Nothobranchius furzeri: one gene and its partner. The main gene of each other region encodes a partner of the protein of the gene in region 2 in a complex. Links are inferred from orthologs where the notes say so. Each region holds a gene or a part of one and is shown on either strand. Other genes may lie near its edges. The genes, in order: esrrga and nrip1b.

Evidence for each region.
Region 1: the proteins of nrip1b (region 2) and esrrga are in contact, whole or in part, in a crystal structure (PDB 2GPP), measured with the Homo sapiens proteins. The link is inferred for Nothobranchius furzeri from reciprocal best matches to the Homo sapiens genes NRIP1 and ESRRG. Residues at the interface, in NP_001426204.1 of Homo sapiens: Ser378, Leu379, Leu380, Leu381, Leu383, Leu384, Lys385, Ser386, Gln387; in NP_001429.2 of Homo sapiens: Val277, Ile280, Lys284, Phe289, Leu294, Gln297, Met298, Leu301, Gln302, Lys448, Leu449, Glu452, Met453.

Annotation. Positions count from the first base shown.
Region 1 is NC_091749.1:33,701,791-33,706,113, reverse strand, and holds the start of esrrga (estrogen-related receptor gamma a), read right to left. Parts: upstream 2,804-4,323; 5' UTR 2,393-2,803; coding exon 2,337-2,392; exon of another isoform or gene 2,333-2,336; intron 1-2,332. UniProt on the Homo sapiens protein: Orphan receptor that acts as a transcription activator in the absence of bound ligand. Binds specifically to an estrogen response element and activates reporter genes controlled by estrogen response elements.
Region 2 is NC_091750.1:42,800,581-42,804,957, reverse strand, and holds the start of nrip1b (nuclear receptor-interacting protein 1), read left to right. Parts: upstream 1-1,289; 5' UTR 1,290-1,516; coding exon 1,517-4,377. UniProt on the Homo sapiens protein: Modulates transcriptional activation by steroid receptors such as NR3C1, NR3C2 and ESR1. Also modulates transcriptional repression by nuclear hormone receptors.

The DNA of each region.
Region 1 (4,323 bases), on a different chromosome or scaffold from region 2:
CAAGATCCTGACTTGGTTAAGTTGCATCCTTAAACAGAAAACATATTTCTCCACAATCATTACAGTATTTTCATTTGAAAATCTAACTAATTAAATAGTGAAAAAGGGACGTTTGACACCGGTTCCGGACAGAAATCACCACTTTGCTGCCCTTCCTTTCATAATCGCGCTGCAAATCTGCGCCTGAACAATTTGCACGGCCGCTGTGCAATTTTCACCACAGGTCCGCTCACCTCACACCCACTGACAAAAAACATCAAATTCACTAAGGTCACACATTTTAATGACATGCAAATTGTATGTATACGGTGACATGAGGGGAATGCAATTATGTTAACTGCTTAAGCGGTACTTGTTATTATTATCGGCATGATCATCATTATCCTTAATATTTTAATTAGAAACGCAGCGCCTTAAAGGAAAAGGAGGCAAAGCCTGAGTGGAGAAAAAGAGGAATGGTGGACAGATGGATGGATCGATGGATGGAGGGATGAAGGAGCGGACAGACGGCTGACTGGACCAGAGGGTTCTCTAAAAAAACCTGAGAGGTGACACACACACACACACACACACACACACACACACACACACACACACACACACACACACACACACACACACACACACACACACACACACACACACACACACACACACACACACACACACACACACACACACACACACAGGTTAAACAGGCACATCTTGCTGCAGAATTTTGGGACATTCATGTGCATTTTTCCACATTCACTCTTTCTTTCTGACACGGTATGTGCATCACTCGTCTCCCCATCCAGAAATGTAAAAACGTTGTCCTCATTAAAGGTTCACTCTGACTTTAATGCTCAAGTCGACGTTAAAAAGCATTGTTCTGCAGTTGAGACAGAACCCAATCAGCAGGATTGTGTTCCTGTAAACAGAAGCGTCAGAAATTTGTGTTTACGTTTCAAATGATTCACAAAAAAAATCATATTCTTACACCTTGCTTCACAACAACATCCTAAAAACTGCCATTTGTAAATGTTTAAATATAGTTTGAATGAAAAAATCTCATTTCAAATCTAAAAATCTCAATGGGAAAATTAAGAATACACATTAAATGACGCTTTAGCATGCTTTAGTCAAAAGAAGAGAGACAACATGAGTGTTTCGTTTCTCCGTCAGATCTTCTCTGTTAAAGGTCTCTAACTATCCGACCTGCTGTAAAGGAAAAAGGGTTCTAGGAGACACACGGAGAGACAAAGACAAGCCAGGTTCACGGCTCACAGGGACACTTTCTTTTTAAATGTTAAGGATTTCTTGTCATTTTCTTGTTTTTTGGTGTCACTGGCTTTGACAGCTGTGCAGGCTCCAACCGACGCTTTAATTTAGTTTCCCTAAATGTTTCTAGGTTTTTGTCCAAGACTTTTCCAGAAACTAAAGTTTTATTTTACGTTAAATGAGCAATAAAATTATGTTAAAATGTGATGAGATGCCAAAATGAAACAAGAGTGCTGTCCAGTCACCGGTCACACTCTACAACCCATCGCTTCAAAAAATTCTTCACCTTTTAACGTCTGAGAGAAAAAAGCCAGAAGAATTAGCGTGCATGTGTGTTACAGCCGTAAACATGAGCAGAATTATGCATAATATCTGTCGTGTGCAGTTATTTAGCTTTTTGGATGATCTTCACCTAAAAGAGCAAAGTTTTGGTTCAAAAGAGCAGCTGAAGAGTGTCTGAGAGGAACTGTCTCTAATTCCTGAGCGGGGCCACACGCTGAGCAGCCGGTCAGACATTTGACCTCCTCCGGCATTTAAGAGCGCAGCTTTCCCTCTTTTCCTCCTCCCTCAGTTCTTACGGGCCGTTCTCCTCCCGTCGCTCCCCGTTACCTCGCTGACTCTCTGCCTGGATGAACTTGCACGGACACACACACCAGCAGTCACACGGGTCCTAACTCAGTTGGGTCTTTGTCTCTCAAACAATTTTACTGACAAGAATGTTTTAAGGCAGAAAAAGTGAAGAGTAGGCTGTTTGAATGTGTGTGACAGGTCAGGTGTGTGTGTGTGTGTCTTACTTCCAGGTGGAGGGACAAAATCTGAGCTCCTCCACCTACAGATAAGAGCTGCTGTCTGGACACAGCAACTACATACAGGCATTGTCACAAAAATGCACACACACACACTCACGTGGACAGTGATCCTGTGCTACCTGACAGCGGGAGCAACCTTGACATGCTGCATTCCAGCACACCAAACACAATCACTAACTTGCATGCAGTCACTCACAGCAGAAGACAATGAATGACAAGTTGGCTGATGAGTAAAAAAGGGAAGATCAAAAGGTAAAATTTACCTACTCTTGTTCAGAGTGCATTAAAAAACACTCGGATAAGGGATGTCCTACCGACTCCATCAGCGGTACCGGGTCATTGTCACGCCAACCTCCTTTATGGAAACGGCAAAAAAACACGAAAAAGAATAAAAAAAATCAAAGTTTTGATATGTTTCCTCTTTCTCCTCCTCTTCTGTCTCTGGTCGTCCCCCCTCTCTCTCTCTCTTTCTCTCGCGCCCAGTCCTTCCTTGCACTTGGAGGGAGTAACACAATTACCAGGCTCTGGTCTGCGCTGCCTGCACTGATCGGCTCTGCGAGTGTGTGTAGACGTGAGGAAGCGTGTGTGTGCAGTGTGTATGTGACAGCCGGGAAAAGGGGCTATAGACACACACGCGCGCACACACATACACAGCCAGCCAGCCGGGCAGTTGGGACAGAAAGCTGTGCTGCTGTCCTAATCAACGACTTAAAGCTCCGATAGTTGCTCATGAATATTAAGCAGGATTTTGCATATGCAGTCCCTCAGGTCCGCGTTCTGCTGTGATTGGTGGACAGCTGACCAATGGCTGCAGGGATGGGTGGAGAAAGGGGTGGAGAGAAGCAGAGGGAGCGAGAGAGAGGGAGAAAAGCAGGTGGAGAAGGAGGGATCAGACAAAGAGCACAGAGGAGAAGAGAGAGGAGAGAGGAAGGGAAGAAAGGAAGCAGGGAGAAGAAAGAGTCAGGTGAGGGGAACGGTTTGAAACAAGAATACCAGCACTTCTGGTATGATCCATCTTTATGATCCAGTGTCCCCTTTGGTCTCCACTGCCACACTCTACACCAACCATTCAACAAAAACAGATTTTAAAAACTGAAAAGTCAGAAAAAACAAACAAAAAGCCCAACTTTCATTTGTTTTAAAGAAGTTTTTAGCCTAGCTTTCTAGGAAACACGAGATCACCTTGATCTGCAGCATCTTTCTGGTAAAAACAACACGGATTTGAGCTTGCCAGCATGCAGAGCACAAACGGGACATAATCAAATCCAAAGAATTGCCAGATCAAAGGAACAAGTGCAAGCTTGACCTGAAACTCAAGAAAAGTGTCACATCGATAACATGCTCAGAAAGTCAGAGCCCAGCAGAGCCCCATCACAACCCAGCAGTAAAATACCAGATTACGGCAATTCCAGAGAACGCGCGTCCTTTGTTGTGGAATGATTTGGACATGATTGGGACAAGGTTTTCCCCGCCACTTGCTGTTTTGTCAAGCTCTCCTTCATCTTCTCACCAGCAGGCTGTTTGTGTGCAGTATTTCTGAACATGCTGGAATGTTTGGACACTGGAATCTCTTGCAGAATCTGTTTGCAGCGTTGGTCATCAAGCGAGAGGCTGACCGAGAAAAGAACGCACGGCGAGCGGGAAAGAAAAACTGGAGCTCTCTCACCGAGACTGTCATCTGTTTTGCCACAGTTTACTTCTTCTCCTCTCTTATTTCATCCTTTCCCAGTAACTTTTCCAAGACTCTGGTATCCCATCAAACACAGGATGGTTGGGAAGACTGAAGTGTGCAGCACGGAGAGAGACAATGGGAAAAGACTAAATCAGAGGGGTGGAAAAGGGGGATGCAGAGATGAAAGGGAGTGGTTGTAATTAGCACATTTGGAAAGAACAGATAACATAACATTTCCAGAAACCAATCTCTACTTTGATGTGTGTGTGTGTGTGTGTGTGTGTGTGTGTGTGTGTGTGTGTGTGTGTGTGTGTGTGTGTGTGTGTGTGTGTGTGTGTGTGTTTACAATTGTGCACAACAGCTATTTTCTATTTCTTCCACAAATAATATGAACAGTTGTAATGTTTTCTGCTGGTTAAAACCTGAATTGTGCATTTAAAAAGCTGAAGTCAGGAAACAAATGTAGGTGAAATGATTGACTTTATTTTCTGCTAAAGTTTAATACAACAACATCCAGGTTCGGTTCCCATGGTGCTGCTCACTTAAACGCCAGAATTTCTTTAAGTAATTTAGAAAATCTGC
Region 2 (4,377 bases):
ATTCCGATCAAAACCGATAGGGGCGCTATCGGCCGATTACGATCAAATGCCGATCCATCGGTGCATCCCTAGTTTTGGTCAGGTGTAGAGCAAAAAGGTGCAGCTCCTTCCTAAAAAGCAAATAATCTCCAATAGAAAATAAGAGGATGCTTAGACTTTTGCATTGATGTTACTAATTTTTTTAAATCACAGCTCATCAGATCTCCAGACTTGATCCTGTTCATTATGGCCCAGTAGTTGCTGCTTCAGAAACCTTGTGGTTTGATCAAGGGTAACTTTCCACACATAAGCGTGGCCCGGCTGCCCTGTCTTTAGCACAAAGAGCTTTGTGTCTTCAGCTGATCAGCCATTTAACGTTAAACGTGCTAATATAGGCTTCTGAGATGGAGCTCCTTGTGTCTGTGATGATTTTTCTCTTTGGCATTGTGTTAACACGCGCCTGAGCTAAGACCTTAATTATTAAAGACATTATGCAACAATTCAGATGTATTCACCTAATACTTTATACTTGTTTAATGCCCAGAGACTATTTCACGGTGTCCTCTGTGTTTTCAGACTGTATGTCCTCATACTTCTGCTCATTCGTGTATTTAAGCAAGCGTGCTTCTGTTGGTGGGTGGGTGGCTCTTACTGTAGCTAGATGAAGGGTTGTGTGGTTTTAGATGAAGCTCAATTGCAAACGGAGTCGGGGGGGGGGGGGGGGGGGGCTAATCCAGTGAAATGGCAAGCTGCATAAAGAATTATGCACAGCTCTCAGAAGGCCCTTCACTTTTGAAAGACACAGCCGTGAGAGGCTTACAGCTCAAGACCTGAATGTTTTCAAGGTAGTGAGCTTGAATTTTCAATTTGAATCCAATCAAGGCTCATCTACATGTGTTGTGTGTTGGGTGGCTGTGAGGGAAGAGTGCAGAGAGAAGGAGCCGTGTGCAGTCAATCTGAAATGTTGCTAAGTAACAGCGATGGCAGACAAGGTGGGGAAATGAATGTGATATAGTGCTCTGCAAATCCCTGCTTCTCACATGGTTTCCTATTTTTCCCCTTTTTCCTTCCCCCACCACCCCTCCCTGTTTTCTCTCTATCTCTCACTTTTATAGATCTCCCCCCTCAGCTGTGAGCTCTACAGAGACACCACTGACAGAACAACAGACAACCATGGAATGCGTCAACATCATGGTGGTGGATTCCTGCTGACTCCTCGCTTGCTACTGGCATCAACCTGAATCTTGGCCTTCTGGGGTCCTGCAGCGTTTATAGGCATACAGCAATGCCTTGGAGGGCCGCCTGCCCCAGATTGCTTCCAGGCATGGTTGCTTCTTCAGCACGTTGCTGCTTGTAGCCTCTTCAGAACGATCCAAGTCCAGCGAGCGCATCCTTCTGCTCTTCTCTGTTCTCACCTGGCGCCAAGACCGGCCCTCTTTCTGGTGACTAACCAGTGCATGACTGAACCAGATGACCCAGATCACATTTATTTTCCAGTAGCAGTGCTAAGCAATACGAGGGGATCTGAGTATTGAACATGACTCATGGGGAGGAGCCTGGCCCTGAGACACACAAGGATTCAGCTGTTCTAACTTATCTGGAAGGTTTACTGATGCATCCAGTGGTGGCCGGGCCTGGGGCCACAGCAGGCGGGAGGTCCGAGGCTGTCCACAGCAATCAGCAACAGGGCAACAAGGTGGGGGGGTCCTTCCCACTAACTCACCATGCTCCAATAGCGCCCAAGGCTGGAACTAATAGACCGACTCTGGGTTCCTCACAACACCTGAAGAAGGCTCGCCTGCTGCGCTCCGGAGCGTGGAATGATCCGGGGAACCAGCGGCTGAGTTCACCCCCCATGGACCTGAATGGCCAAGTGGGAGGCCTGCAAAACGGAACGCTGGAGGAATCCCCTAATGCTGGAGAGAGCACCCTGTTGGCATCTCTGCTTCAGTCATTCACATCACAGCTTCAGAATGTGGCATTGTCTCAGAACACTAGTAAACCCACCAGTGAGTGTCCATCTCCAGCCAAGGCTCCAGCTGCAGACAAAGAGCCCCTACCTGTTTATGGGACAGCCTCCAGCCGCTTGAAAGGCCTCATGCGGAAGAGCAAACTACAGAATCACAACAACACCCCTTACAGCCGCCGTGGACACAGCCAGGACCGGCCACCAGAGTCCCCTCGATCAGCACACAGCGCCACGCCTCCTGCTGCTCCTGCTGAGTCGGTGTCCTGTGCTGAGCGTTTGAAAGCAGTGGCTAACTTGGTGAAAATTCGTTCTAGCCCCGCCCCCTCACCAAAGCCCAGCGTGGCCTGCAGTCAGCTTGCTCTGCTGCTGTCCAGCGAAGCACATCTGCAGCAGTACTCCAGAGAGCATGCTCTCAAAGCCCAGCTCTCAGGGAGATCAGCCAGCGAGAGACTGGCTGCAATGGCCAGCCAGCAGCACGACACAGACAAAAGGCCTCCAAGTGTTGGGGGGTCTCCAGACACACTAAGCTCCTTAGCAACTCAGAATGGAATGACAACTACCACGATGATGGCAACACTCCCTCGGACGGCAGTGTCCAGTCCTCAGAGCCCATCCCTGCTGCGTGGCCACAGCCAAAGCTCCCCACCCGCTGCTCCCCACGCGCCGAGCCAGCCCCCCAGAGAGAAAAGAGGCTTTGATGCTCGTCCAGTCCGCCCACCGCAGACATGCAGCAGCTTGCTGCTGCTGCTGCTGAACAACCACAACAGTCAGAAGCAGCTGACCAAGAACGGACACCTGGAGGACATCGGTGGCCTTCTGCCTCCAAGCGGCTCCTCTTCTGTCACGTCGGACAGTGAATGCTCCACCCATGAGAGAAGCATGACCAAGGACAGCAGTGATGCTGAGAGCTCCTACTCCAGCTGTTCCCCAATTGACCTCTCCATGAGAGGTCGTGGCAGTGCTAGTGCACAAGACACTGGGCCCAAAAATGCTCCCTCTTCTTCCTCTTCCGTCACCTCTGTGCTCTCTTCCTGTACCATGGTGCTGTCTTCCACCCCAGCATCATCCTCTCCTCAAGCCAGTGCTCAGCCCTCCACTTCATCCTACTCACCTTCTTCTTTGACTGTCTCCTCTGTATCCACTGCTATTTCTTCATCCTCGTCCTCCTCCTTCCCTACCTCCTCCCTGGACAAGCTAACGGAGTCTTTAATAAACAAGTGGAAACCAGAGCCATCCAGATCAAACGTCTCCAACAACAAGGAGCCAGAAATGAGTCCGGACCTAAAATCCCACCCGAAGGTCACTCTCATGCAGCTGCTGCTCGAGCGCAGGAACTCTGAGATGGCTAGCAAAAGCAGCGGGACACAGGACTTGCCTCTTGACATAACTATGGCCACCATGTCTCAAAGTCAGCAGAAAAGACTGATGTCCTGGGAGGAGAGCAGAACCAGAAGCTCCATAGAAAAGTCAGCAGGTCCGCCCCAGTCCCTCTACTCTTTTAGTCAGGACCCGAGTGGTGCACTTTCCCCGTATTCTTACCCCTCCCCCCATGTTCAGTCCAGCCCACTAGATTTGTGTAAGTCTAAAGCCTTCCCAGCTGAGAGGTCCTCAGAGCCAGCCTTTAGTGCCAGTAAACTGTTGCAGAATCTGGCCCAGTGTGGCACCACCACCTCCTCCTCCTCCTCCTCCTCCACCCCGCCCATCCCCTCCAGCAAAGGCCTGGGCCAGGAGATCGACACCAGCAGGCCCCTGGCCTTGATGGAAAGACTTAATGCTCCAGTCCACCGGACCAGCACCACTCCACTGTCAGATGGAGCATCAGGCAGCGGCACACCTTTCATTCACAAGGAGCCGTCCACTCCCTCCTCACAGATCGAGAACCTCCTGGAGAGGCGCACTGTGCTGCAGCTTCTTTTAGGAACCGGGTCGGCCGGCAGTACCACCAGCCGCAAAGACAAGTCCAGTGGTGGTTACCGGAGGAGTACTGAGGCAGCTGGGGGGTGCTACGAGACCAGCCCTGCCACCACTGTCCTTTGTGACAGCTCTAACGAACCTATCTTAGATGTGAAGGTAAAGTCTGAGCTCACAGAGGAGGCGGGGCCACCTCCTGCCAGGTCTGAGGACTTTAGCAGCAAAAAGAGACTGAGTGGCTGTGAGAAGAAAAGCCAGCTCTCCGACCCTCAGCAGGACTTGAAAACAGAAGCGCGGCCGCCAGAGGTCATAGCTAAATACGGCCTCCTGAGCCAGCTGCTCAAACAACAGACTGCCACCTACTACACTAACTCTGCAGTGCTGCTGGAGTCCCAGTCCACACAGGTGAAGGAGGAGCAGAGGGACTATCCCAGCCCCGTCCCTAAGAGGAGACGTGTCTGCCCTGAGCAGTCAGAGGGTTTGAGTCACATCAGGTCTCCAAAAGCAGTGGACGGTGG